Callithrix jacchus: one gene and its partners. The protein of the gene in region 3 purifies or fractionates together with the protein of the main gene of each other region. This does not show direct contact. Links are inferred from orthologs where the notes say so. Each region holds a gene or a part of one and is shown on either strand. Other genes may lie near its edges.

Region 1 (9,486 bases), on a different chromosome or scaffold from region 3:
GGCACCTGTAACCCCAGCTACTCAGGAGGCTGAGGCAGGAGAATCACTTGACAGGAGGTGGAGATTGCAGTGAGCTGAGATTGCACCACTGCACTTCACCCCGGGTGACAGTGAGACTTCATCTTTAAAAAAAATATGCATTTATAATAGAGATGTATCTGTAAAGTGCTCTCAGGAAAAGAGCTAGTGACATGATGGATAGATGACCCTGCTAAGAGAAATGGATGTTGAGCTGGAACTTAGGGAGGCCAGAGCTATGGAGCATGAGCCAGGGCAATCCTCCACCTCCCTAAGAAGGAGGGCTAGGTAGCTGGGTGCGGTGGCTCACACCTGTAATCCCAGCTCTTTGGGGGGCCGAGGCGGGCGGATCACCTGAGGTCGGGAGTTCCTGACCAGCCTGACAAACATGGAGAAACCCTGTATCTACTAAAAATACAAAATTAGCTGGGCATGGTGCTGCATGCCTATAATCCCAGCTACTTGGGAGGCTGAGGCAGGAGAATTGCTTGAACCCGGGAGGCAGAGGTTGCGGTGAGCCAAGATCCTGCCATTGCACTCCAGTCTGGGCAATAAGAGCGAAACTCCGCCTCAAAAACAAAAAAGGAAGGCTGGGTCCTACTGGGTACATATACTGACACCTGTGTGTGGGTACCTAGACAAGAAAAAGACTCTACTAAACCTCTACCTATCAGAAAGGCCTGGCCCAAGGCTGCCATTCCTGAGAGCACTTGAGATCTGCTATTCAGGGTTTTCATATCTTGTCAATGCCTTGGCTCTACCAGTCCACTCATCCTAAGGGTTGTGAGGGCGAGCTGCAAAATCATTTTCCCTCCAGGGCACCATTTTGGCTTCCCTCAGGAAGCCAAAATCAATGTAGGGAGAACATGTCCCTGCAAGGAGCTGCAAGCCTGGCATCCCAACTCCCGAGCTATGGAAACAGCACTGTTTGAGTATCTGGAGCCCCAGACCACAGACACTACTGCTTGGGGAGGGTTCTATCACTCAGGCCAGACCAGGGCAAACACTGTTCATTGCTATGACTCTGTCCTTGCCAGTAGAACCCAGAGAAAGCAGAGAGCCTACCCTGAAGGAATGAACCATGTCTGTTCCCAGGCACAATCCTGTTTCTCTTTGTAATACTCCATTTCCCATTCTCCCTTGAAGTGAGAGGAGCATGTGACTCAGTTCTGGCCAACAGGACTTAAAGGAAAGGGTCCTGGGAAAGCAGGCCACTTTCGTGATAAAGTGGGGGAGCCTCAAGGCCTTCACTGAGCTGTGGCAGCCACCTTGTGGTAAGGAGGAAACAATATGCTAAGGATGGGACAGTGGAAGGATGGAAATCTAGATCCCCAATGATCAAACAACCATGACACCCACTTCCCAATTTCTTGTCAGGTTGGGGAAAAATAAACCATTCTTTGAGGTCCTACATGTTACTTATAGCAGAATGTGTTCTTGATTGTGGTGCTTTGAAAGGATGACAGAAGTGTTGTAAAGGGAAGCTCTCTGCTGTGCAGCACGCTTGGGTCCCTTTGCCTTTGGGGCTTCACCATTAACTGCAAACCTGTTCTCAGTCTTCATGTCTATACGTTCGGCCTGCAAATCTGCCAGTTGCTATAGGGTGGCTTAGGCAACTGCAGGCTGCATCTGGCTGTCCTATGTCACCCGGTTTCTGGTTCCTCAGCTTAGTGTCCAGATTCTGAGATAGAACCAGCTTGAAATCCCTTTGACAACAGTCTAAGGTGAAGAGAAAGACCCACTGGGCAAAAACGTTGAACCACGACTCTTCCCGAGCAACATGGCAGAGCTTGGGCTTTGGGCCAACCTCCTGGCATGGGCCGGTGAGCACTTCTCGTCTCATGCTTCCTCTGGGGAATCTGTTTACTCCAGCTTTGCCCCCTGTCCCCTACCCAGGCCTCACCTCCCACACCTGCAAAGACACCAGCAGGCCAAAGAATACCACTCAAGAGGCTTTCTCCATTTTATTTCTTTGGGAAAGGAAAACAAAGTCTTTCCATCACATATGGTAGAGATATATATTTATATATATTTGTATATAATTTCTTTTGTGGTTGGACGTCCCAAAGCTGAGTCTGTTCATATTTTTTTTTCTTACTAATGCCTTCTCTTCTCCCTGCCCCTGTGGCCTAGGCCCAGGTTCTAGGGCAGGTGCAGTGAGGGGTAAATGGAATGGGCAGTGGTTGCCAGGGTGGCCTCCCACCCAGCTCTGAGAACTGGTGAGGACCACCTAGAAGGGCTGTGCAGAGGGTTAGAGGCCACACAGAGGGGCACTCATGTTTTTGTGGGGGATGCACAGCTCATTAAACAGTCACCAGTCATGGGAGGAGGCTGGTCAGGGGCTGGGGGACTTGCTCACAGTAGTTGCCAGCTCTCTCCACCCTGCCCCCCCAAACTCAGTCTTGGGGGTGGGAGAAAGAGAGAGTGAAAAAAGAGAAATATAAGGGCTGAGGGCCAAGCCTCCTCCAATTTTTATTGCTGGTGAATTAGAAATTTGCTTTTCCCTTCCTGTCTTGGGGAGATGGACTCTGAGAGGGCCCCAAGAGAAGGAACTGACATTGGCTGACCTAACCCCTCATGCCAGGCCTACCCTGGGCAGATGCTGAGCCACCTCAGGGTGCCAGGAACCTCTCAGGTCAGCCTTGTTCTTCAAGGGCAATCACGTCTAACCCTCCCCCTGCCCCTGAAACAAGGGCCTGCGGCTCAGACTTGGGCCAGTGGAGCTGGGAAGTGGGCAGTGCACCAAAGGTCAAGCAGAATTTTCTACTGGAAGAAAAGGTGAGACTCTGGGGGAGGCTGCCTAGGAAGATGATATGCTGAGCATGAAAGCAGAAAGAGGCTGGGGAATATAGCGCGGGAAGACATCGCAGACACTCGTCTGACCTCAGAAACCGGGGGGGGAGAGTGCCTGAGAGGCAGGTGGCACTTAATAGCTGTATTAGAGCCGGACAGTGGCCCTGGGTGTGGGTCAGTCAAGCAGATGGGGCTGTTGCCCTGCGGGATCCTGGCCAGAAGGGTGAGGGTAGAGTCGAGAAGCCGTCAGGCAACCCTTCCCAAGAACAGGAGGGCAGATCTTCCCTGGGTGCTGGACTTCCAGCCCCAGCCCTCCCCTCCCGCAACACACACATAGGGACACACACTCACGACCAGGCCAGGCACTGAGGCCTGAGCCCAAGAGACCTTGGTGGGGGAGGGGCTGGGCAGGTAGCCCTCTCAACCACAGGCAGGCCATCTGCTCCCACTTGTCCTGCCAATCTACCCAGGGAAGGAGAGGACTACAGGGAGGAGAGAGGTCAGGAGCCCAGGGTCTGTCAGTTTCAGCAAACCCTGTGCAGGCCCCTTCAGGCTCCTTTGGCCTAGGAGGTGAACACAGTGAGCATCACTAGACACCGGGGGGCCAACAGTAGCAGCCCAGAACCCCAGAAGGACTGGGGCACCTCATCACTGCAGGCCTGCTGCCTCTATCTCCATCAAGGGGGTGCCAAGAAAGGGAGCATGACTACCCCACCACCTAGAATCACCCTCACTTGCCCTGCCCTCCCCCTATTCCCTTCTTTTAGGAGGGTCCGAGTGGGATGCCACAGGGGCAGTGCTGGAGCTGGGAGAGCAAGTGAGGAGGGAGGAACCTGGTCACAGCTGCTTAGAGAACCTCTTTGGTCTGGGGATATGGGGTCTACGGGGAAAAGAGGTGGAGGGGAGGGGACACTGGGGACTCTGGCCTTTTGACAGGGCATTTGTCATAAGGCCGAGTGCCCAGGTCGATCAGATTTCTGTAGATTCAATGCGCTCGAGGCGGGAGGGGGTCCATGCCTTCTTCTCCTCGCCATGTTGGGGAGTGGGCGTGCTCGCACCCCCTGCGGCCCCACGCTCCCGCAGCCGGCGCTCCAGCTGCTGGTTGCGCTGGTACATCTCTACGTAGCTCAGCTGCAGCTGCTTCTGGTATTCGATCACCTTCTCCTTCTCCTCCAGCCACACGCGGCGTTCCTCTGCGAAGCTGGCACCCTGGCGCTCCCGGGCCCGCCGCTCGGCCGCCAGCTCGGCTTGCAGCCGCCCCACCTCCCGCCGCAGGGCCCGCGTCCCACTCTCCCCGCCGGCCTCCGCCTCCCCGTCCACGGAAACTAAGGAGGCGGCGGCGGCCACCCCGGCCTGACGGCGCATCTTAGCCTCGTCGCTTTCGCAGGTGGCCAGAGCATCCTGTGGCTCAGCCGGGTCCACGGGGGTCAGCGCCGGCTTGATGCAGGCGGCAGGCAGCTCTCCCTCGCCCAGCTCCAGGCTGGCCTGCTTGCTGCTGAAGGAGTCCCGCAGGCTGAGCAGCTGCTCCTCCTTCTCCCGCAGCGAGGCCCGGCCCTCCCGCAGCTGCGAGCGCAGCCCCACGATCTCACTCAATTTCTGCGACACATCCGCCTGCGAGTCCTTCAGCTGCTGCTTCAGGAGGGAGATCTCGCCAGCCTTCTGGCACACCTGGGCAGGAACAGGTGAGAGGAAAAGCCGGGTCAAGGCAGAGCTCTGCTCACCCCAACCCAGCCACCAGATCTGGAGCCAGGGACACCAAGATTCCCGGAGCAGGCTCAGCCCTCATCAGCAGCAATGCCTCATTCCCTGCCTGGACTCAGGATGAACATGTCTCACCCAGCCCGGGGATGGCCTCCGGTCCTCACAGACACTCCCAATTGCTTTTTGTCCCCCCTGCTCCTTTCATCGCCTGTTATGATAGTGAGGGGCAACTGCTCTGGGGTTCCCCAGAGGGGCAGAAGGGAGGCAGAGAGGGAGGCCCAGATCTCCAGCCCGCACCTCCCACTTAGTTTCCTCCATCCGGGGCAGGAAGTCGGCCTGCTCCTTCTGGCAGGCGGCCACCTTGTCCTCCAGCTCTTCCCGCTGCCGCATCAGCCGGGCCGCCTCCTCCTGCAGCTGCTTCTTGTCCTGCTGCAGCCGCAACACCTGCAGCTGTAGGCCCTGCTGGGCACGCTGGGCACGGCGGGCCACCTGCTGTAGCTTCCCGCTGCAGCCCTGCCGCAGCTCGGCCAGCTCCCGCTCCCACGCCTTCTGCCGCTCCTCCAGCACCTGGGCCACTGCCGCCTCGCTCTGCTCCAGGCTGCGCCGCAGAGCTGCCACCTCCTGCTCCTTCTCCCACAGCCGCTCCTCCAGCTCCTGGATGAGTGCACTGGGCGAGGGCGGTGAGCAGGCCGCAAATGGCAGGCCTCCACCTCCACCCTCCCCAGAGCCCAGGTGGCCTGGCCGCCCCATGGATGATGACGACCCGCTCTTGCTGGAGGCCCGTCCACTATCAGAGGTCCCCAGGTCCTGGTAGCCCGACCCCCCACCACTGCTGCCACCACTGCCACTACCATAGCTGGCAGTGCCAATGCGGTTGATGTGGCTGGTGGAGGCACTGAGGGGCGCCAGGTGCTGGCTATAGCTGGAGCTGTAGGTGGGCAGGCTGGTGAGGGAGTTCCGGCCTGAGTCTGAGAGGCCGCTCCCACTCCCACCCGCTGGAGTCATGGTCCGACACTTGTCCAGTCCGCCTTTGAGGCCACCAGGGCCCTGTCGTCCCTCAGGAGTCCCATTGGTCTGCGGGGGGCACAAGTTCTGCATGGAGTGGAAATTCTTGGGTACGACAGGCTTGAAGGCTGATGGCCGGACTAGTGGCTCTGAGCACTGCAGGAAAGGCAGGGTGTCAGGATGAGGCCTTGACCTTGGCCCAGGCTTTTCCCTCTGGCAGAGACTTGGCCAGCCCCACCTCCCACCCCTACTGGATCTCCATCCTGAGGTCCCCCAAGTGGGGTTCCACCTCTTGGCTCCCTGAAGCCAGATCTCTGTCCTGGATCCACCCAACAGACTTGGCCCCAGGGCCCTAGTCCATGACTCCTCAGCCCAGCCTCCATCCTGCCCCCACAACCCAACCTCCAAGAAGGACCCCTTTGCCTTCCTCTCTGCGTTGCCTCCCACCCCCAGAAAAAGGCTGTGAGGGTCTCAGGCCCTGGGACTGACCTGGTCTAGCTTGCCAGAGGTGGCCAGGAGCTTAGGTGGGTGGCCGGGCTCACGATACTGCGGTGGGGCTTTGTCGCTGCCACCACTGCTGCTGCTGCCACCACTGCTGCCAACTACGTTGCCACAGACATCGGTGTGGTCACTGCCCCGCAGCTCGCCATTGAGGTAGAGGGAGTTGGCGAGAGCCTTGTCCTCTGAGGGGTAGCGGCCTGGCCTCTCCCTGCTGGCCCCACTGCTGCTGCCTCGGGGGCCAGGGAAACTGCCCTGGCTGCCCCCACCCCCTGTACGGGTACCCACGCTCTTCATGGCAAACTCCTGGGCATGGGCCACCCCACTGCCCACGCTGCCCATGGCCAGGCGGGGATCCGGGGGTCCAAGCTCAGAGGGCCGTGGGGCAAAGGCCAAGAGAGGATCCCGCCCTGGGTCAGCTCGCACAGGCAGTGTCTCCAGCTTCGCCATGACTAAGCCAGGAGGGCACTGTGGGCACAGGTGGGAAGGTAGAAATAGGTCAGATCCTACTCCTACTCCCACCACCCCAGCCAAGTCAACCCAGCACCCCTCTGCCCCTCAGTGTCCCCTTCCCTACAATGGGTAAAAGGGCTCCCAGGCATCCAAGGTGAAGGAACAGGGCTGGGATAAAAGAGGGAACTTGGAAATGGGGCTGCCTATTGCCCACCTGATTAAGCCCAACCCCCAGGGCTCCATGCACGAAGCCCCCAGCACAGCTCAGCTCAGCTCTGCATTCCATTCGTAAACTCCTGCCTTAGCCCCACCATGCCCATGAGCTTCCCACGCTCAGTGGTCCTCTTCTCAACTCTTTGCTGTAACCCCAGAATTTTGGGATTATCTATCCTGGGTCTGGGCCCTTAATATCCCAACCTCATGGGCTGGAGAAATGGGGTTGGAAAGGGAGAACAGTGCCTGAATCCAACAGGGAACCACCTCAAAAGTTAGGGGAGGGAGAGAAAGATACCCCTATCCAAAAATTGAGGGTGGGGGTCCTTCACAGCCCCCTAACCTAAGGAGTGGCAGTCAGGGCAGAAGTGGAAGCTCACTACCAGCGCAGGCTTCTCTCCTTGCCTTTCCAAGGGGGTGAGGGGCCGACGGATCCTCAAGCCTGGGACCCTCCGAGGCCCGGTCTGCAGGGGCCATGTGCCTCACTCTCGCAGTCAGGGCTCGGCCCAAACCAGCTGCGCGACTTTGGAGGGGAGGACTGAGCCATCCTGGACTGCGGTTTTCTCCTCTGCGAAATGGGAGAAATGAAGGACCTACCTTGCGGTGCTGCTGCGTGCCAGGCGCCCCGAGGCGACGGGCGCTGGAGGAAATGGGGGACTTGGGGAGGGTGGTTGGGCGGCGCGCATCTGGGTCGCGGGTGGGCGCCGCTAAGAGTACGCCCCGTCCCCCACGGACGGACGGGGGCAGCGGCAGCAGCAGGTGGCAGGACCGCCCTCCCGGAGGTCTTCCCAGCTCGGCCGCACCAGGGCCCTGACAAGAGAGGGCCCCCTTCCCGGGATCAGTCCTCCGCAGAGGTCTCAGGGCTGGCTGAGGCCGGGGCAGAGGAGGCAGTGGCGCCAGCTGCTGGCGTTGACGGAGTCTCCCTCGGGGCCTGCGTTTCTCACAGGTGGGCGGGGGGAGAGGCGGGGTCGCGCACCCTGCAGTGCCCCCAAGGATCCGGCGCATGCCAAACCCGCTAAGAATTCACTGCCACCAGGAAGACTTCCTGGATTACTCCCTCTCCCGCCCCCTGTGGACCTTGACCCTGCTCAGTTTACTGTGAAGCCCTCTGAGCCCTTCTTGTGGGTGCGGGTCCCGCACCACCAAGGCCGGCCCACAGGCGCAGGGGGAGCCAGGCTTTGGGTTACTTGTGCTCAGGTAGGCCCTGCTTCCTCGTTCCTTTGTCTCAGGTTTGCACCTGGGAACACCTGCCCCAGAGATCTGCATAATGAAGCCGGGCAGGGGCACCAGGCAGCGTCTGCCTCGGATTAGACTCTCAAATAAGTGTGTGGGAAATGGGAGGGGATGCCCTTCAGACCTTTTCCTGCTACTCCCTCCATAAACCAGGCAGGGAGCCCTCCTTCCCTTCAAGGTTAAGGGGTCCACGTGGCACCCTGTGGCCCCACAGACTGTCTTCTACCTAGCTGCCCAGTTCTAATGCTGTGTCCTTGCCCCAGACCAAGGGAACCTGACAAAGCTATTGTCCTTCAGGAGTCTTCTGGCCCCCACACCAGGAATGAGAGTCCTAGGTTGCTGGAAAGTTCACTACCAAGCCTGAGCACTATCTCTGTAGAATTCCATTCTCAGCGTCTGTCCCCGCAAGTGTGGAGAAGAGCACTTTGCCACCATCCTCCTTTGGGCCCGTCTGTCCCCATAAGCAAAGGCCAGGACTAGGGTGAGGCCAGAGAGCCACAGAGGGCACAAGTGAAGGGTGCAATCAGCCAGCACACAGCCCTGAGGGTGACAGTCTCCTTCCCTTGGTGCCTTGGGTGCTTCTCTGGCCTCACTCTAGTCCCCGCTCTGCCTCCACTCCCCAGCATACTCCAGCCCACTATGCCTCAGCCCTGCAACCCCCCCTACCCTAAATATGCCCTCTTTCCCTTGCCATCTCTGAGTGCAATGTAGGCAGCAGCTGGGGATTGGGAGGATGAAAGCTGAAAGGCCTCAAGCTTCAAACCAGTAGGAAAGCCTGGGCAGGGTTTGGGAAAGAAGTATGGGCAAAATTTCATACAGATGAGGTCAGGCGGTAGGGACAAGGGAGGACTCTGGACTGGAGACCACGGTGGTGTGTGACACTTTTAACATAGGGGAGACTGCTTGGGGAAAAGAGGTGTTTTGGGAAACAACAGAGGAAGATATTTCTCAAGCACTAGATGGAAGCCAGGTGAGATAGCTCATGCCTGTAAGCCCAGCATTTTCGGAGGCCAAAGTGAGCAGATAACTTGAGGCCCAAGAGTTCAAAAACAGCCTGGGCAACTTGGTGAAACCCTGTTTCTACTAAAAATACAAAAATTAGCTGGGCATGGTGTGCACTCCTGTAATCCCAGATACTTAGGAGGCTGAGACACAAGAATCCCTTGAACCCTGGAGGCGGAGGTTGCAGTGAGCTGTGATTGCGCCATTGCACTCCAATCTGGGCGAAAAAAAAAAAAAAGAAAGCACTAGATGGAGAGAGATTGAGATCATCTGTTTTCAAGGGTGCTGGGGGTGGGGCCCAGCATTGAGCCAGGGAGCAAAGGCCCAGAAGTCTGGGAGGCACTCTGGGAGCAGGAAAATGGCTGAAAGAAGGATCACCCGAAGGCCAAGATTGAGAGGGTTCAAGAATGTGGGGACAGTTTCCAGTGTTAAAAATAACAGGGCAAGGTAACACTGGGATTGAAGAGTATGTTGGGGATTTGGGAGCTGGAGACATCACTGATATCTATGTCAGAATGGTTTCTGAAAAGTGGTACAAGGCCAGATGCAGTGGCTCACATCTATAATCCC
Region 2 (9,486 bases), on a different chromosome or scaffold from region 3:
CTCATTGTGTGAATATTCCGTTCTGTGAATACACTATTTAGATGCTTTTCGGCACAGCTAGTTTTTATTTGTAGTTTTTAATATCCCAGGTTTGAGCCCTTCATCAGTTATATGTGATTTCATTTTCTTCTCCCAATTTGTCACTTGTTTTCACTCTACACTCTTGTTTTGCTTTTATTCATACCAACCGACTACATAACGTTTTCATTCTCTTTATAGTGTTTTTTGATCAATGGACAGTCCTAATTTTAAGGTCACTGGATGTTTTATAATTTTCATTTATGGTTGTTTCTTTGTCATAACAAAGAAAAGTTTTACTACCATGAGTATATGAATGTACTGCCTTATTGTACTTTTTTTTTTGAGATGGAGTCTCCCTCTGTCACCCAGGCTGGAAGGCCGGGGCGCCATCTCAGCTCACTGCACCTCTGCCCCCCGGGTTCCAGTGATTGTCCTGCTTCAGCCTCTGAGTAGCTGGGACTACAGGCAGCCACCACCACTATGCCCAGCTAATTTTTGTATTTTTAGTACAGATAGGGCTGGTCTTGAACTCCTGACCTCAGGTGATCCACCCACCTCGGCCTCCCAAAGTGCTGAGATAACAGGATTGAACCACGGTGCCTGGCCTTGCCTTACTGTATTCCTAAAGCTCTTTGGTTTTGCCCTTCACATTTAGGCTTTAAATCCACCTAGAATTATTTTTATTTGTGTTGTAAGGGAGGGATCCAAGTTCGTATTTTTCAATGTGGGTAACCAATTGTTCTATTTATTGAAAGTCCAATCGCTCCCCCACTGTTCCAAAACACTCCTTGGTCACCAGTTCTGTGTGTACACATAAGTGGGTCTGTTTCTGAGATCACTAGTCTTTTATTGGTCTATTTGTCTATTCTTGCAAAAATATCATACCATCTGAATTGATACACCATACAATAAGTATCAGTGTCCTGGCTAGTCTTGCCACTTCTACATAAATTTAAGAATTAATGTGTCATGATCTATACACACGCAAAAATCTACTGGAATCCTGATTGGATTTGCACTGAACCCACAAAACAGTTTCAAGACAAAATGACAGCTTTGCACAGTGGCCAGTGAGGAAGAAGGGAAATGAAGGGAGTGTGGTGTCTTGGAAACCAAGTGAAGAAAGGGTTGCAAGGTAGAGATGATCAACAACTATGTCAAATGCTGCCAATAGTCCAAGTAACATGAGGTCTGAGACTTAACCATGGCGATAATGATGTGATTATCCTCAGCAGTTTTGCTGAAATGGTTGGGTAAAAAAAATCTGATTGGGGCTATTTTAGAAAGGCATTGGAGAAAAACTGAAGAAAGCTCATGTAAATATTTCTTTCAATAAGTTTTTCTGTAAAGGGAAGTAAATAAATAAATTTATTTTGTTGAGCAGTTTATTCGCATGCAATCAGTGTATCTCTTTCCTTCAAAGTTTCTGGGCTTCCTGTTTTTAGTAGAAATGTGATGTCTGCTGACAGCAACTGTGCTACACGTTTCACAGTGCCTTAACTCCTCTTTCCTTTCTGAGGCCTTCCCTATCTCGGGGGCTAAGGGGTCCCCCTGCTGGTGTCAAAGGCTATTTTTTCAGTAACCTCAAAACCTTGCGGCTGATTCACAACTGATGTCCCCACATCCACAGCAGACCACAGCCACCACTGCAACCATGTGACTGACACCAAACCCTCTTGTGGCTGCTGCTCTTCCTCCCTGGCTCCTACCACCACCATCCAAATAGATACTGCAGGGCCCCATAGGCAGAACATGGAAAAGACAAAGAACCATATGGATTAGGACCACGAGATGAACAGACACAGATCTTCAAGGACAGACGTGTTGAAGCAGCAGCAGGTGACTATGTCCCACACCCAACTCTCTACTGTGATCCTCCCGCAGAAAGTGACCACCCTGCACACTCATGCCCAAACAGGAGAACACTACACCACAAGACATGTTTCTCATAGAGCTCTATTGTAGCATATAATAATAAGTACTCTATATAAATTAAATTAAAAATAAAGCTCCAGCAGGTTGCACAGGTTGGCTGTTAATAAATATATCTCTGGGTAATTGTGCCCCAAGACCAGCTCACGACCACTCTCCCTCATCCAGAGAATTATACAAAAATAAATACAGGCTTGGGGGGTAGGGGGACGACATGCCCAGTTCCACTCTAAAAGTTCCCCTCACTCACACCATCCACCCATCCCCTCGTCTCCACTGGTGTCACCACAGGGATCCCTGTGTTGACTAAAGAGCTTGGGGATGGGAAGGCCTCTCTTTCAGTTGAGCATTCTCAGAAGTAAAGGACCCAGGTCCCCTTGCTGCATAGGCCATGTATCCCATCTCAAGCCTCTGCTGATTCCACAAGCAGAGCCTACGAGAACCAAGCCAGAGAGAGGCACAGCGCAAGCACCAGGAGGGACACACCACTGTTAAGAGCCACAGGGACCACCACTAGCCCAGCCAGGACCCCCAGAGTCTGGGTCAAGGGTCCCCGGAGCTGAGGCGGCAGTACACACACACATTCTGCAGGGGCTGCTATGGCAGGAGAACTCTTTGGGGGTTCAAGGCTTAGGTCTGCATCCTTTTCATCCTGGGAGCTCACATGAGGCCTGGCCATGCTAGAGAGACAGACTTCAGCCTCAAAGGGACCAAGGAGGGTGGGATTTTGCCCCTGCAAAAGGATGGGAGCAGCTGGCTCCTTGCCAGATATGGGATCCAAGCTTCCTGCCCACTCACTGGTTACCTCCATCTGGGCTTCTGTCCCGGACTCCCCCAGGGACTCAGTCACCCCAGCTATCACCCTATTCATGTGCAAAGAGCTGTTGTCCTTACCCATCCCTTTCTCAGGATCCCCAGTGAACTGACACTCTGTACTCAGAACCACAGGGCTGTCACATCCCGAGCCCTCTACCCATGGGAGCCACACATCTCCCATAGTGGCTACCACAGAACGGGCCCCGGAGAGGATTTCCGGAGGCGATTCCTTGGGGCTGTCCCCTTCTGGGCTGGAGGGTGTGACAGAGAGCCCCTCTTCACCCTCCCCCTCATCATCAGGGTCTTCGGTGTCCTTGATGAGCTCCACGCCACGCCCCAGCCGGGCATAGTGCAGCGTGATCTCCTCAGCCAGGGCGCTGTTCAGGGCCCGCTCAGGGCTGGGCCACTTCAAGATCAGGTCACGGTCTGTCAGTATGCCCAGGGGATGGCTGGGGGACATCCCCCCATCTGTGGAGCCCTCCCCAACACCCTCTACCCCACCTGCAGCCACAGCAGCCCGTAGGCGGCTCAGGTGAGACAGGTAGAGCTGCTCCAGCTCCTGGTCGATTGTGTCCTCACCAAGCAGCTCCTCCGACCCACTCACAGCCTCCAGCCCCCCTCCATTCTCGCTCAATACTCCCCACGTGGCCTCTGCCTGCTGCTGGCTGGGCTCCAGGAAAGGCCCAGTGGCCCCTTCGCTCGAATCGGGCCCTGAGGCCTGGTCTCTGGGGGAGCCACCCAGGCCACAGAGAGGGGAGGAGGGGGGAATCCTGATGGCCGGTGCCTGGAGGACCTCTGTAAAAGCCACAGGTGGACTGCTTCTGGGGATGTCACCTTCTTCCGGAGGGTTGCCAGTCATCGGAACGTCAGAAACCTGGAGCCATGGCCAGGGTGGGGGAGATGGGGGGGAGAAAAAGCAAGGGAATGAAATAAAGGAGGCGATGGAACAAGCAGAGACAGTAAGAAGTATGACAGCCCACAGCTAGCCCCGCAGGGGTTTCTACATAAAAATGCCCTAAAGCGCCCTCCATCACTATCTAGACTCCAAAGACTCTTTCATTTATGGTAAAATAACACAATTGGATGCAGTGAAACGGTGCTTCTTGCAGATTATAAAGCTGAGGAATTTGGTGGGTGTGAATATCTGGTGAATGATCATCACTAAATACTGCTGGTTTACCTTCAAAATAGAGCCAGTTAAAATAACTGAAAGTATAAGTGGCCAGGCGCGGTGGCTCACACCTTTAATCCAAGCACTTTGGGAGGCCAAGGTGGTTGGATCACATGAGGCCAGGATTGAGACTAGCCTGGTCAACATGGTGAAACCCCGTCTCTACCAAAAATACAAAAATTAGCTGGGCAAAGTGGTATACATCTGTAATCCCAGCTACTCAGGAGGCTGAGGCAGGAGAATCACTTGAACCCAGGAGGCAGAGGTTGCAGTGACCTGAGACTGTGCCACTGCACTCCACCCTGAGTGACAGAGAGAGACTGTCTCAATAAAAAAGGAGTATAAGTGGGTTGTTTGTAACACAAAGGGTAAATGCTTGAGGAGATGCGTACCTCATTCTCCATGATGTGATTATTATGCACTGCATGCCTATATCAAAACATCTCCATAAATATATATAACTACTATGTCCCCTCAAAAATTATAAATAAAAAAAATTTTAAAAGTAAAAATAAAATGCAGAAAAACACCCAAAACATAGCCAGGATTACCTATGAATCCATGATGCATCATCTTTTCTTTTAAAAAAAATTATTTCCTAGCTCCATCTTTTGAAAGGGCCTAGAAACAATGACCAATCTAGTAGCAGCAAGCATGCCAAGCCCTCAAACCTTGGCCTCTGAATGCCACTCTCTACTGAAAGGAAACAGTGCTCCTTAGAGAAATGACTGTTTCTGGCCAAGCACTGTGGCTCACTCCCGAAATCCCAGCACTCTGAAAGGCTGAGGCGGGTGAATCGCCAGGCAGATAAGGAGTTCAAGACCAGCCTAGCCAACATGGCAAAACCCTATCTCTACTAAAAATACAAAATCAGACAAGTGTGGTGGCATGTGCCTGTAACCCCAGCTACTTAAGAGACTGAGACAGGAGAATAGCTTGAACCCCGGAGGCAGAGGTTGCAGTGAACCAAGATCACAACACTGCATTCCAGCCTGGCCAACAGAGCAAGACTCTGTCTCAAACAAACAAAAAAGAAATAAAGAAATGGCTGTTTCCAGGCTGGGAACAGGAAGAGTACAGGATGAGCCTAGAACATATTGTCAAAAGGACAGAGAAACCCATCTCAATAAGCTCCTACTAGCCAGGGATAGTTTAATTTAAGCATCAAAAAAACAAACAAATAAGTGCAATGGACTAAAACTCATCAACTATGTTTAGAATTCATAGAATTTATAATGACACAAAACCAAAAATCCGTTCACTGGTCACCTTTGGAGTAGTACTTCCTCTGAAAACTGATAAATAAAATGGAAAAAATTAAATATTTACACTGATGTTTCTGTAAAAACTGTATCTCAAGATAGCCAAATAGCTGATATGGGAAAGTTTTTCTTTAGAGACAAATTCTAGCTAATAAAGGAAGTGGGAATAATAGAACTAAATAGAGTTAATTCTAGTTAAAAGATTAAATATTCATTTAATAACATTAATAATTTGATAAATTAAATAAGATTACATTAATAGAATTAATACATTAATAAAAATGGAGTAAGAAACATATTTCCACCTAGATGTAATCAGCCAGACCCAGACTGAAAAATTCTACAGGACAAGCAAAGTTTCTTTAACCAACAAATTGCAAATAAAGAAAGCGGGGGAGATTTTAAAAATCTAAAGAGACATATCAATCAAATCCAACGTGTCAACCTTGTTTGGATCCTAAAACATTTATGAGAGAAGGAAACCTGAACACTAACCAAATACTTGATGACACTAAGGAATTACCATTTATTTTCTGAGGTGTGATGATAGTATTGTGGGGATTTTTAAGAATTCTTAATTTTGTGGCCGGGCTTGATGGCTCACACCTGTAATCCCAGCACTTTGGGAGGCCAAAGCGGCAGATCCTATCTCTACTAAAAATACAAAAATTAGCCAGATGTGCTCACTTGAACCCAGGAGGCAGAGGTTGCAGTGAGCCGAGATCGCGCCACTGCACTCCAGCCTGAGTGACAGGGAAAGACTCTGTCTCAAAAAGAAAAAAAAAAAAATTATCTGAGATAAAAACAGAAGTATTTATGGATGGGATGATGTCTGGGTGTTTTCCAAAATAATTCCAGAGGGAATGGGAGGAGACGGGGTATAGATAAAATAAGAATTTTAAGTAAGTTTTGATATTCACTAAAGCTGGGGGATAGTATATGTAGGTTCATTATAGTATTTTACTTTTATATACATTTGAAAACTTTTATAATTAAAAAGTTCACACACACACACACACACACACACACACACACCCCTCCAAAATGTCTCCACCTCCCCTACCTACCATCACGCTTGCCTGGACCCTGCAGTGGCCTCCCCCTCACTGCTTGCCTGTTTCCACCCTCCACAGTCTATTTTCCATGCAGCAGCCAGAGGGAGCCTGTTAAATCCTAAATCAGATCAAGTCCCTCCTCTGCCTACAACACTCTTGCGGCTCCCCCTCACTTGGAGTCAAAGTCAAAGTCCTTACCATGGCCTATGAGGCGCCGCCTGATCTGTCCTCAGCCACCTCTCTGCCCTCACCCCATACCACTCTCCCCCTTCCCTGTTCTGCCCCCGCCACACTGGCTTCTACACTGTCCTTCACACACGCCAGTCATGGCCTCACCTCAAGAACTTCACACTCACCTGGGATGCTCTTCCCTTAGTTATCCACATTATCCACATGGCTCACTCTCTCACCTTCCTCAGATCTTTGCTCAGATCACTAAAGCCTTCCCAGACCACCCAATCTAAAGTTCCAACCCCCCACAACACACACACACACACACACAGTCTCACCCACCCCCTATCCCTTTATATTTTTCCTTAGCACTTATCATCACCTAAAGTGCCACACATTCTAACTATTATTTTATCACGACTCACCCTACTAACACATAAGCCCCCTTGAAGAGAATTTTTCCATGTCTGTAACAATGATTAGCACAGAGCAAGCACTCCATAAATATTTGCTAAATTAACAAATGACATTTCTACAAGCCCAGGTGAGTAACTACATTCTCCCCCTCCCCCATCAGGTTCTGAGTTTTGTGCCCTCCCTCCAACCCAGGGAGGACCCACAGCTAGTGGACCCCACCACCCAGCCCAGCAATAGTCACACTATGAGCCTCCTATTGGGCTGTCCGCTCCAAGGCTGCAAGCACCCACTTACCTGAAGTGTCATCTGGGGCCATGGACGGAGAGGGGTGGGGGCCACCAGGGGACCCACTGACTCCTCAACATCAGGGTGCTCTGCTAGAGGGAAGAGAAGAGCAGCATTAGACAAGACAGGCATATAAGTAGGTATGGGTTTGTTAAGAAAATCTGCTATCCTAGCCAACTGGCAGTTTTGCTCTGAAGCTTTCCATGACAATATAAGGCAGAGAGTGCCCTTTCATTTTTTTTTCAATAGGGTCTCGCTGTGTCCCAGGCTGGGGTGCAGTGGCACAATCATGGCTCACTACAGCATCAACCTCCTGGGCTCAAATGATCCTCCCACCTCAGCCTCCCAAGTAGCAGGGACTACAAATGCATGCCAGTAAGCCTGTCTATTTTTTTCTTCTTTTGTAGAGATGAGGTCTCACTATGTTGCCCAGGCTGGTCTCAAACTCCTGGCCTCAAGCAGTCCTCCTGCCTTGGCCTCCCAAAGTGCTGGATTACAGGCATAAGCCACTGAACCCAGCCTTTTTCATTTTTATAGAAAGAAAAACAGGAGGAAAGACATGGTAAATACAAGCTAAAACTCCGAAAGCTGGCCAACTGCTTACCCATGGCAGGGGTGTTATCATCCATGTTCTTCGTCTTCAGTTCCTCCTCAGCAGGCCTGTGGGGCAGAGGAGAGAGTACATGGAGATAATACCCTAAGTGGTCACTTCTGCCACCCACTGGTACCTTCTGAGCCTCCGTGCTAGCCCACCTTCACCTGACAGCTGCTGTTTTCTCTTCTGCTGCCTTTTTTTATCGCCTCATCCTAGAAGTCCTACACCCTCATTACAGAAAATTCACAAAATACAGGAAAGTATAAAGAAGCAAGAAAAACAATCACACATCAGCCAGAGACAACTACTATTACCATTTTGGAAAATTATCTTCCAGATATTCTATGAAATTATTTAGATTCTGCAGACATAATTTCACAGCTAGCTTTGTCCATTTAACAGTAAGAAACATCACTATATACTTTCGCAAACATTTCAGTGGCTGCTTAATACTTGTATCATACCATTTCCTTCCTACTGAGCAGCTAAGTTCTTTCATTTAGAGGTCGCAAAGCAAACCAGCAAACAGCATTGGGCATAATTTTATCGACATTTGTATCATTTCTTTAGGATATACTCCTGGCTGTGGAAAGAGAAAAGATAGAAGAATCCGTCTTCTTGGCCGGACGCGGTGGCTCACATCTGTAATCCGAGGCCAAGGCGGGCAGATCACTTGAGGTTAGGAGTTCAAGACCAGCCTGGGCAACATGAGGAAACCCTGTCTCTACCAAAAATACAAATAATTAGCTGGGCATGGCGCTGCATGCCAGTAGTCCCAATTACTTGGGAGGCTAAGGCAGGAGAATCATTTGAACCTGGGAGGCAGAGGTTGCAGTGAGCCGAGACCATGCCATTGCACGCCAGCCTGGGGGACAAGAGCAAAACTCGGTCTCAAAAAAAAAAAAAACAAAGGCCAGGTGCAGTGGCTCATGCCTGTAATCCCAGCACTTTGGGAGCCTGAGGCGGGTGGATCACCTGAGGTCAGGAGTTCGAGACCAGCCTGGCCAACATGGCGAAACTCTATCTCTACTAAAAATACAAAAATTAGCCAGGCGTGGTGGTGAGCACCTGTAATCCCACCTACTTTGGAGGCTGAGGCAGGATAATTGCTTGAACCTGGGAGGCAGAGATTACAGTGAGCTGAGATCACACCACTGCACTCTAGCCTGGGCGACAGAGCAACACTCTCTCTCCAAAAAAAAAAAAAAAAAAAACACTTTTCTAAGAAAGGGCAGGTGGACAAGACTGTGGGGCAGAGGAAGGAATGCAAATGGAGACTGGGAGGGAGGTCAGAGAGGCCTGGGTCCCTATGCTAGCCTTCCCCTGTCCCCACATCAGCCTGGCATGTCACTTCACCTCCTCACTCACAAAACATAAAACAGAGCTGCGGGGAGTCAGGACATGCCCTAAGCACAGGGCAGTCAAGAGGAATGAGGATGGACAGCCAGAAATTAGGGCCTAACACACAGCAAATATTGAATCAACCATAGATATTTATGCGTCTTGGTCATCCTTCACCAGGCCAGTCAGATCTGAGTGGCATAAGCCAAGTGCATTTCAGGTGGGTCCTTCCAGGGGGGACCTAATCATGGAGAAGTCACTGTTCTTACTCTTAAAATAAGTATTAAGTATCAGCAGATTAAGGCAAATGAAGGAAGCATTGACTAAAACATGTTCAGAGACCTGAGAGGAGCTGGGGCAACTGCCCACACCTTTGTCTTCCTAAGAGGCAATGTGACATTCTTGATACTTCTGGCAGTG
Region 3 (9,586 bases):
GCCAGTTTCATTCCATGTTAAACCATTTCAGTGGGCCCCCTCCAAAAAATCAATTAAAACAAACTTTTCTAATATGGAGAGATAAAACAAGAAGTCACTAACAAGAACAAAGACACATTTTAAGCTATACTCACTGCATATCAGATATGAGCATGTGCCCCAAAACAAAGTGTGTGTGTATATACACATATGGAATCTGTCAAAACTTAGTTTTAACAGTAATACCATCTTTTAAAAATCACCTTCTAGAAGAGAAGAGACATAGCTCTGGTAGAATAATCAATTGCCAAGACACCAATATGGTTCTCCATTAGCAAAACATATGCCCAGGAGGAACCACACCATTTTAGGTATTATCTCCAAAAAACAATTCTCACCCATTTTAGTACTCCGGAAGTAGGATTTCAAAGCAAACGCTTAACTTTTTAAATACCTAGCTGGCTTCTACAGCGCAATACTTCCACATCATTTTGTTTTCATATACAGAAAAAAAAAATCCAACTAAGCCTGCTTGCAGCCCATAGATTAAGAAATAAGATCTGTCTTCAATTACCCAATATGAACCTTCAATTATTGTCACATGAAGTCTACATTTCACTTTCAAACGCCCCTATGGTAAACATTACAACTCTAGCTTAACATTGTAGCATTGACATAAAGCAAGATTTCAAAAGCTTTCTTCATTTGGGAGCAACTGAGAAATTTTAGGTAATTTAATATAATTTGCTGATTTTTCCAAGTAAACACAAATTTTAACTCCCCAAACTTTTTACTCCAAAGTTGAGCTAGCTTTGGATTATAAATTACCACAACTTCTCCAGCCATCAGAAAATTGTCCAACAGTCAAGATAACATCTGCTAAAAAGTCTCTTAAAAGGCAAAACCACTACTACATATACACATAAGGTGCTATTCTACTAGTCACACAACTCACTTTCACAGGACAAACTGTTAGTATCAAGTTTCAGGAAACACATACAATAGTTTCAAGTAGGCCAGGCGCGGTGGCTCAAGCCTGTAATCCCAGCACTTTGGGAGGCCGAGGCGGGTGGATCACGAGGTCAAGAGATGGAGACCATCCTGGTCAACTTGGTGAAACCCCGTCTCTACTAAAAACATAAAAACTTAGCTGGGCACGGTGTAATCCCAGCTACTCGAAAGGCTGAGGCAGGAGAATTGCCTGAACCCTGGAGACGGAGGTTGCGGTGAGCCGAGATCACGCCATTGCACTCCAGCCCAGGTAACAAGAGCGAAACTCCGTCTCAAAAAAAAAAAAAAGTTTCAAGTAATATCTTTACTCCTAAATCTAAAATAGACACACATAAATGGAGGTAAAATCACCAAAACACTCAACAGAGAGTAAAGCTTCTTAGTTCAGCTTAAATAACTGCTTATGAACACTACGAAATAAGACTAACACAACTTTGGAGATGAAGCACTAAGTTCTTGATAAAGACTTTCTGGAAGTTTTTGGGTTTTGCTGGGTTGAGATAAGCTTCTTCTGGGGGGCAGTGAAACTGTTTCCTATGTATGTATAGGAAACGTGAAAGGCCTCTGAAATACAAGAAAAGCTAAGGCCAAAGCAAAGACAAACTGGCAGACACCTAATCACAAGTACCAAGAAAGTCACAAGTGAAGTCCAATCTTCTACCAGTCTGTGTTTAATGGCATATATAAGGCAATTCCCTTCTCGCCTATAATAGTTAATTCTGTCCACATTTTCTTCTCATAACTAGATACTTGTCAACCATAAACAGGCACACAAAAACACCTCAGGGCAGTCTAAATTTCTAAGCTATTTCTTTAAAAAAAAATGGTTTTCAAGTGAAAACCAAGACTGAATCCAAATTAACACTTTATTTGTATAGTTACAAAACAAAACGCAAGCCAAAGGTTACCCTCTTATGTTTGTAACAAGGTATCCTGAAGTTTCCTCTGGCAGATAAATATTCATAGCACTATAAAAACCCAAGGTAAATTGCTTAAATACATTGTTGCAGTTACCTAGGCCTCTCCACCCCCATATCTTTAAGTCATAAACATTCACTCTCCCTAACAGTAACTCGTAAATAACACTAAGGAGCAAACATCAGACAATATTTTAGAGGGGAAAAAAATTTTTTAACAAATGGTCGTTTTTACTATCCACATTCCCTAACAAGACATTGCACTAACATGGAACGTTTTCGGTTATCGTTAGTGCCTCTAAAAACCTGGACTTACTAGTTTTTAAATCCCTTGTACAAAATAATGTGTTAAGTTTCTAACGGGTCTCACCAAAATATCTTTAAAAGGTTTAAGAGATGATCTTATACTTAGATCTCAAATTCCTAACAATAACGGATCTCACTAGATCACTTAGTCCATTTCCCACCCCTACCAATCATCCCATTCATTCAAGTCTATTCCTTCAAACCCTTTTTCAACACCCACCAGGTAAAAACGAGTGTGCCCTCATGGTGCAAACAGAAGGGAAGGCTCTTCCTCCTATAATAATCTCTGAACGTCTGCCTCTCGAGGTAAAAATAAACTTTTTACACCTAGTCTTACAAGAGAACTGTGTGTAGACATTGACAGGAATCCTTAACTTTCTGGCATGGTTTTAAGTCTAAATAAATTTGGACAGCTACCATAAACACCACTGCTATGCCAGGGAAAATCCTGCACTGGGATACCTCAAGTACATGTAAAGAAAAAAAAACTATAATCAAGTAAGCTTTGTTCATAACAAGTTGCTTTGAAAAAATCTTCTGCAGTTTAAAACCTCAGCACATGAAACTTTAGTTCTAGCCTCACGTTTTTAAAAATCTACTTGAAAACAATAATCTCCTAAAGTAACTCATCAACATATAAGAAATTTAAGAAATATAAGAAATTTAAGAAAACAAAGCTAAAGGCAATTCCACTGAATTACTAAAACACCCCAGAATCAAAGTGTTAATATTCATTAACATTTTGGACACAAAGTATAAAGGGGTCACAGAAGAACCCTTAAGCATTCACAGAATAAAATAACTAAACATAACTTGACACGAAACTTTATGATTCATCAATACTCAGAAAATGACTATCATCAAAATTAAGTGTGAAGTACAAAACACACCAAGGAATAATACTTTTAATTCCTTTCTTTCAAAAATTGACTGCATTGTTTTTTGGGGGAGAGAAAAGGACTGAAAAGTTTCAGTGAGAGGACTCACTACCATTACCTTACTTTTCCATGATAAAAACCGTAGGGGATACAATCTCTAGGTTACAATCCTGAGTCATTACACACGAATCACTTCAAAATTTGCCAGTATTTCTAATAATGAGTTACACCCTAGTGGTTTACAAGTCCAGACTGGCTACAGCTTCCTGGCTCCTGGATTCCCAGCTGTATGACCTTAGACCAGTCAGTGCCCTTCTCTAGGCTTAGTCTCCTCATCTGTAAAATGGGAACAGTTCCTACTGGTTGGGCAAGCTCGTCAATCCACTGAAAACCCTGACAACAGCATCTGGCACTCTTCGTCCCAATCTTCAACTGGGTGTGAAAACAATGTTCTAAGGTGTATTTTCTGACAATTTGGGTGGAATTCAAGAACCAAATGGTAATGGCATTCATGCGCTGCGCCTAGATTACAGGATTCGTGTCACCTAGGGTTGGGCGAAAGGCACAAGCAAAAAGCCGGAGTCACTGACTCACTAATTTTACCATTTTTAACTATTTCAGATTAGGGAGGAGCCTTTCGCCAAGTGCCGAGCTACTCAGCAGCTTTGGTGGCTCCGAAGCGAGAGTGGGTTTGTGCCTATAAATAGACTCGTGAAGTTTTGTGGTGATGCACAGGTATCCATCCTAATTCACCTCTCCTCAGCCACCAACTCCCCCGGCTGCAGGGCAGGTCATCCCTCCTCCACCCCGAGCCGCCGGGGACACTCGCGCTCCCCGCCCAACTTCGGAGGCCAGCGAGTGCCCCTCGCTGCGGCGCGGACCCCCAGGGCCGCCGAGGCAGCGGCTCCCGACCTTCGCCGGCGCCCGGCCCGGCCCGGCCCGGCCCCGCTGTCCTCGCCCACCCAGCAGCCGGCCCCATTTTCTTAACCCGTGCATTGTCCTTGCGAAGCACCCCGGCGGTTCCCACACTGGTGGGGACCGAGAGGAGGGACGAGGGAGGAGCTGGGGGAAGAGGATGAGGAGGAAGAGGAGGAGGAGGAGGAAGACAACCTCCACCCCTTCGCTGGGGCGGCCAGAGAAGGTCTGGCGCTGTCTGCGGCCCCCCAAGCCCCGGCTCCCCGGAGGCCGCGGCCCCCGCTCCCACCCTCCGCAACTTTCCCTCCGCTCTCGCCCGCCGCTCCTCCGGGACCGGGCCTGGGGCTCCCTCCCTCGGCAGCCAGCCCCGGGCCCGCGGCGCCTCCTCCTAAAATGGCAGGTCCCTCCCTCCGCCCGGCCGGCCTCGGCGCGGACCCGGCTGCGGGCCGCCGGAGGAGCCGCGCGCCGGGCCGGGCGGGGCCGCGGCCGGGCCGGACACTCACCGGGACGATGGCGGGGCGCTCGCGCCGCTTCCTCCGGTGAGTCTCAGCCTCGGGCTCCCGCGCCGCGCTCCCGCTCCCGCCGCGGCCTCCGCAGCCAGCGCCGCCCCGGCCGCCTCTCTCCGCCCCCGGCGCTCCGGCTTCTGGCCGCGCCGCAGCCTGCTCAGTCTCTCCTCGGCTCGCGGTTCCAACGGCGCCCGGGGCCGGGGAGGCGACAGCCCCCTCCCCGGCAAATACCGCAGTCCCCGGGCCCCGAGTCCCGGCGGCGGGGCCGCGCGGCCCGGCCCGGCGTGGAGGGCGGCGGCGACGAGGCCGGGCGCCGAACGGCGGCTGCTGCAGGCGGCTTCTTCCCGAAGAGGATTTTGTAAATCTCACAAAATGGCGCGCGCTCCGAACCTGCGCAGCGAGAAGCGCCGGGGCCCGGGCGGCGGCGGCGGCTCCTCCGCCAGGAGAGCCCGAACCGCCCGCCCCCGAGTCCCCGCACAGACAGACAGACACTCGCACACACCCGCACACCCGCGCGCACACTCGCTCTCGCACACGCTCCCTCGCACACACACTCGCACTCACACCGGTCCCGCCCGCTCGCCGGCGGCGGCAGCGGCACCAACAGCAGCAGCAGGAACAGCAGCAGCAGAAGCGGCGGCGGCGGCGCCCGCACCCCCCTCTCGGGGTGTCCGCTCCCTGAGCCCGACCTGGGCCACGATCAGCAGCAGCGACGGCAGCAGTCTCCCCGGATACCCCCGCCGCGATTGCCGCCGCCACCCCCGCCTCACTCCAATGGGGCTTTTTATTATTATTCGGGCGGGAAGCGAAAGGGTTTAAAAAAAAACCAACCAACAAAATGGCGACGGACCGACCCGGTCGCTATAGCAACTGTCAATCAAAACGCAAAACCCCGGCTGACGTGCTGACGTCCTTCTCCCGCCCCCCGGCCCCGAGCCGGCAGGCGGGGCCTGTTGCTCGGGTAACGGCAGATTCCGTTCCCTCCTTTCCGTCTCCCCCTCCGTCCCCAGCCAACCACCCAACCCCCCTCAGGTCACGTGAAGGATAAATTCGGAGCTCGGGCCCGCTACGAGTGTCAGAGGAGGGCGCGTGATTCGCCCGGGGGAGGGGAAAGGAGGAGGACGGCTGGGCCGAGGGAGGGAAGGGGCAGAGGCAGGGGGGCGAGGCGGCGGCCCGGCCTGTGCGCGAGCGCCGGCCGCCTCGCCCCGCCCCGCGTCCGCCGCGCCCGCGCCGACTGCGGCCCGGGGAGCGCGCGCGGCCTCCCGCGCCGCCGCCTCCGCAGCCCCAGCGCTCCGCGCTTCCGCGCCGGCGCCCGCAGCCCCGCCTGTGCCGGTGCAGGGCGGGGGGGACGGGCGGCCCCGGGCGGGGGAGGGGTCGGGAAGCCGCGGCCTTTGGGTGGGGACCCGGGAAGCCCACCCCGCTCGCCAGTGCCTGGAGGGCTCTCACCGCGGTCCGGGCACGGCGCTCGCCTCGCTCCCGGGGGAGCGCGCCGGCCGCGGCTGTCCGCGCGTGGAGCCGGTTCTTCGAAGGGCTCGCGGGTCCCCTCGCCGGAAAAAGCCGGCGGAGGCCGCGGTGGGGGCGGGGAGGAGCCGCCGCCGCCGCGCCCCAGACATCGCAGGAATTCCGGACGTTGCGCCAGCCACGGCGGCCCTGCGGCTGGCACCCGGCTCCGGTCGGACTGCTCGGGTTTTGTGGCGCCGGAGACCAGCGTTGGGAAATTAGGCTGGAGCCATCATGAAAACTTTTTCAGGCTGTGCACGCTCGCTGGTGTCTGCCCATCTGCTTCCAACCCCTCCCCACCTTTCTGGGTGCAGCCTGCCTGCTCCATCGGAATGCCCCTTAGATGAATCCCCTTGTGCTGTTACTGTGTCCTTGTCCACTTCCGTGGTTTTCTTTTCCATACACCTTCTCGGTTTCGAGTCTTAATTTGCCCGCTTGTCCTTAACCATCAAAACTCTTCATATCCTAGCTTTCGCTGATTTTTATTCTGTCTACCCCTTCTGCCTGGCTACGTATTGCTGGGTGAGCTCCCGAGGCTTGAAAACCCAAGTATGCTGTGCTGGCTGCTATGTAATCAGTAGAGAGCCACCAGCTAAAAATTGTGTTTTGTAATGTAATGGTATTTAATAAATGTATAACTAAAAACTATGTGTGTGTGTATATACTATTTTACAGCAGTCACTAATCGATTGATTTCTAAGCTTGATTTTGCCACCTTGTGATAGTGTTCATAGCCCATTTTTTATAAACTTCACAAATATGGTAGCAACAGATAAAATCTTATGAACAATATTAAGTGTAAAAAACTCAGTAGATGCCACTGTCTATGCTACATGACTCAAAGACACCCCCTTTAAATGACTTCCAACAAAATGTCCTTGCTACGGTTACTAGGACATTGATATACTAAGGTAACCATTCGGATCAGCACAGACTTGGAAAGAAGCCTGACTAAATCAAAAATAAATTGGTCAAAAAGTAATCAGGCAAATAGCTTGCTTCGGTCTGATCTCCATGATACCAAAACGCTGCAGTCACTGGCAAAAGTTCTTTCGGATTATTGTTTCAAAATTGTCCTGCTAATGTGATTAAAGTCCACGGTCAACTTAATTGTTCTGAAGAAAGAGGAAGTGGCCCAGAGCGCCCCTTATTCAGAGGAGAGGTCGCTACCTGGTTCCTCCCAAGCTCAAACTTCCACCTATACAACTAACTCCTTCCTCTCTGCTGGTGGGTCTCTCCTTCCTGTCCCCCACCCCATTCACCAACGTTTCGCTTCTAACGCAGCACGTATTTGCAACCTTTAATACTAAGTTAAATTTGAGTCGAATTTTTATCACCGGTCATGGAAGTAACTTGTATGATAGTGTCTCAAGATATATGTCCTTGTCTTCAGTTCAGATCAACCTAGAAGATTATCGGAGTGAGGCAGAATTGAGATTATAAACGTGTGGGAATAGAAGTCATTGCTGGTCATCATATCTAGAAGGCTGCACCCTTCCCCTCCCTCCCCCCCCCACCCCCCGGCTCCCAGTATGGCACACATTGGTCAACGAATGTCATATTCAGGTTGGAATGCTGTAAAATGGTTTTATACAGGCTTCACCTAAAAGTAACCTGTAAATTACATCTGGCTCCAAACAAGTGATCACATGTAGGCAGGAAGGACTCCGGTACAGATGCCAACTGACGTGGTTCACAGATGAAATCCTTGTCGTCTAAGAATCTCTCCATTAGAGTAGCTTACAGATGTATTTATTCATAGACTGTTCACCTTGAAAAGCAAAGGCCCTCTGCTCACAGGTAGTGACAGCCTCCACTTATCCAGCGCGTTCTAGAGTATCTCTCATCTTCACAGCAACATGGCATCCCCATTATGTGGATGAGAAAACAAGTCCTGAAGAATAACATGACTTTCTCAAGGCAGTTACTGCTCACCAGTAAGTGGTGAAGCCAGGATTCAAACTCGGGTATGATTGCAAAGCCCGTGTTCTTTCCACCACACCAAGATGATTCAAGATTATGTGGTGGTAGAGTCTCTACAGAGATCATCGAGTTGGGTCTCTAGAGTGAACCCTAATCCAAAATGACTGCTGTTCTTATAAAAAGCAGTTTGTTTGGACCAAGACAAACATGTACATAGAGAAAACCATGTGAAGACACCAGGGAAAGGTGGCCTTCTGCAAACCAAGGCGCACCCAAGGCCACCAGAAGCTGGCAAAGAAGCATGGAACAGGTTCTGTCTCACAGCCATCAGAGGGAACAAACCCTGCTGACACTTTGATTTTGGATTTCTGACCTCCAGAACTACACTTCTGTTGTTTAAGCCACCAAGTTGGTGGTACTTTGTAGTGGCACTGAAGGAAACGAACACACAGATGCCAAGATGGTGGTTTCTTCTGGTTGGCGTCACATCCGTTAGTGGCCACTCTTGGTGATGCACTATTCTAAGACTAAAAGTCCAGTAGTTGTAATCTCACTGAGAGTTATAACCCAAATAAATATTCCAACGACAAACGCACAAATTAACCAGTATTCTTATCGCTGCCCCTGACATCAAGTGAGAAGGTGAACAATTTGCAGTTCGTCCCTGGACAGTGGCGTGGCCTGGCATGTGACACCCCTGTGTTCTTACAGACTTCTGGGTAAAGGTCTTCACTTTACCCAGGTGGGGTTTGTCTCCCCACCTTGTACAAGCTTTATTGTTTGTTTGTATTTTAAGACAGAGTCTCACTCTTGTCACCCAGGCTGGAGTGCGGGGGCTTGATCTCGGCTCACTGCAACCTCTGCCTCCCAGGATCAAGCAATTCTCCTGCCTCAGCCTCCTGAGTAGCTGGGACTGCAGGTGCCTGCCACCATACCTGGCTAATTTTTGTATTTTTTAGTAGAGACGAAGTTTCACCATGTGGGTCAGGCTGGTCTCAAACTCCTGACCTCAAGTGATCTGCCCACCTCAGCCTCCCAAAGTGCTGCGATTACAGGTGTGAGCCACCTTGCCTGGCCAAGAAGTTAATTCTTAATTCTCTGCACCTGAGGTCCAAAAACAAACTATAACAGTCATGTATGGTCATTACAGACAATTTTACAATGTGGAAAACAATAAAGAGGTAAGGATTACTCATAGATATCACCCAGAAAAAGGAAACATATTGGTATTTTCATGTTAGCATATGTCCTTCCAGACTTTCTTAGGGAGACATGAGCACACTCACCCACATACAACATGGAAGATATGTTTCGTGCCATTTTTACTTCCAATTATACTATGAGCACATTTTAATGTTAATCGACTGAAATTTAGATCATCATTTTAACAGCTACTAGTGTTCCATCAGTTGAATAGGCCGTAATTTAACTGTTCCTCTATTTTTTAAGGAAGTCTTTCTTTTTTGTTGTTATGACATATAACATTGCATAAACACGGCCTACATCCATTGTATACACCTGTCCAATTATTTCCTTCAGATAAAAATACGCGTTCTTAAAAAGCTTTTGATTCATGTTACCAAAATATTCCTCAGAAGCGATTCGACCAATTTGCACTCCTAAACGTAGTATGTGATGATAGTTTTCCTAC

What was found.
Region 1: the proteins of DYRK1A (region 3) and LZTS3 purify together in Homo sapiens (affinity purification with mass spectrometry; 3 studies listed by BioGRID and IntAct, with this or other methods). This does not show direct contact. The link is inferred for Callithrix jacchus from reciprocal best matches to the Homo sapiens genes DYRK1A and LZTS3.
Region 2: the proteins of DYRK1A (region 3) and PPP1R3F purify together in Homo sapiens (affinity purification with mass spectrometry; 3 studies listed by BioGRID and IntAct, with this or other methods). This does not show direct contact. The link is inferred for Callithrix jacchus from reciprocal best matches to the Homo sapiens genes DYRK1A and PPP1R3F.

Annotation. Positions count from the first base shown.
Region 1 is NC_133506.1:10,676,603-10,686,088, forward strand, and holds the end of LZTS3 (leucine zipper putative tumor suppressor 3), read right to left. Parts: intron 7,250-9,486; coding exon 7,087-7,249; exon of another isoform or gene 7,025-7,086; intron 6,484-7,024; coding exon 6,007-6,483; intron 5,674-6,006; coding exon 4,810-5,673; intron 4,480-4,809; coding exon 3,781-4,479; 3' UTR 1,960-3,780; downstream 1-1,959. UniProt on the Homo sapiens protein: May be involved in promoting the maturation of dendritic spines, probably via regulating SIPA1L1 levels at the postsynaptic density of synapses.
Region 2 is NC_133524.1:49,819,555-49,829,040, reverse strand, and holds the end of PPP1R3F (protein phosphatase 1 regulatory subunit 3F), read right to left. Parts: intron 7,791-9,486; coding exon 7,735-7,790; intron 7,223-7,734; coding exon 7,140-7,222; intron 3,644-7,139; coding exon 2,387-3,643; 3' UTR 1,389-2,386; downstream 1-1,388.
Region 3 is NC_133522.1:43,336,140-43,345,725, reverse strand, and holds the start of DYRK1A (dual specificity tyrosine-phosphorylation-regulated kinase 1A), read right to left. Parts: upstream 6,072-9,586; 5' UTR 5,959-6,071; intron 1-5,958. UniProt on the Homo sapiens protein: Dual-specificity kinase which possesses both serine/threonine and tyrosine kinase activities. Exhibits a substrate preference for proline at position P+1 and arginine at position P-3.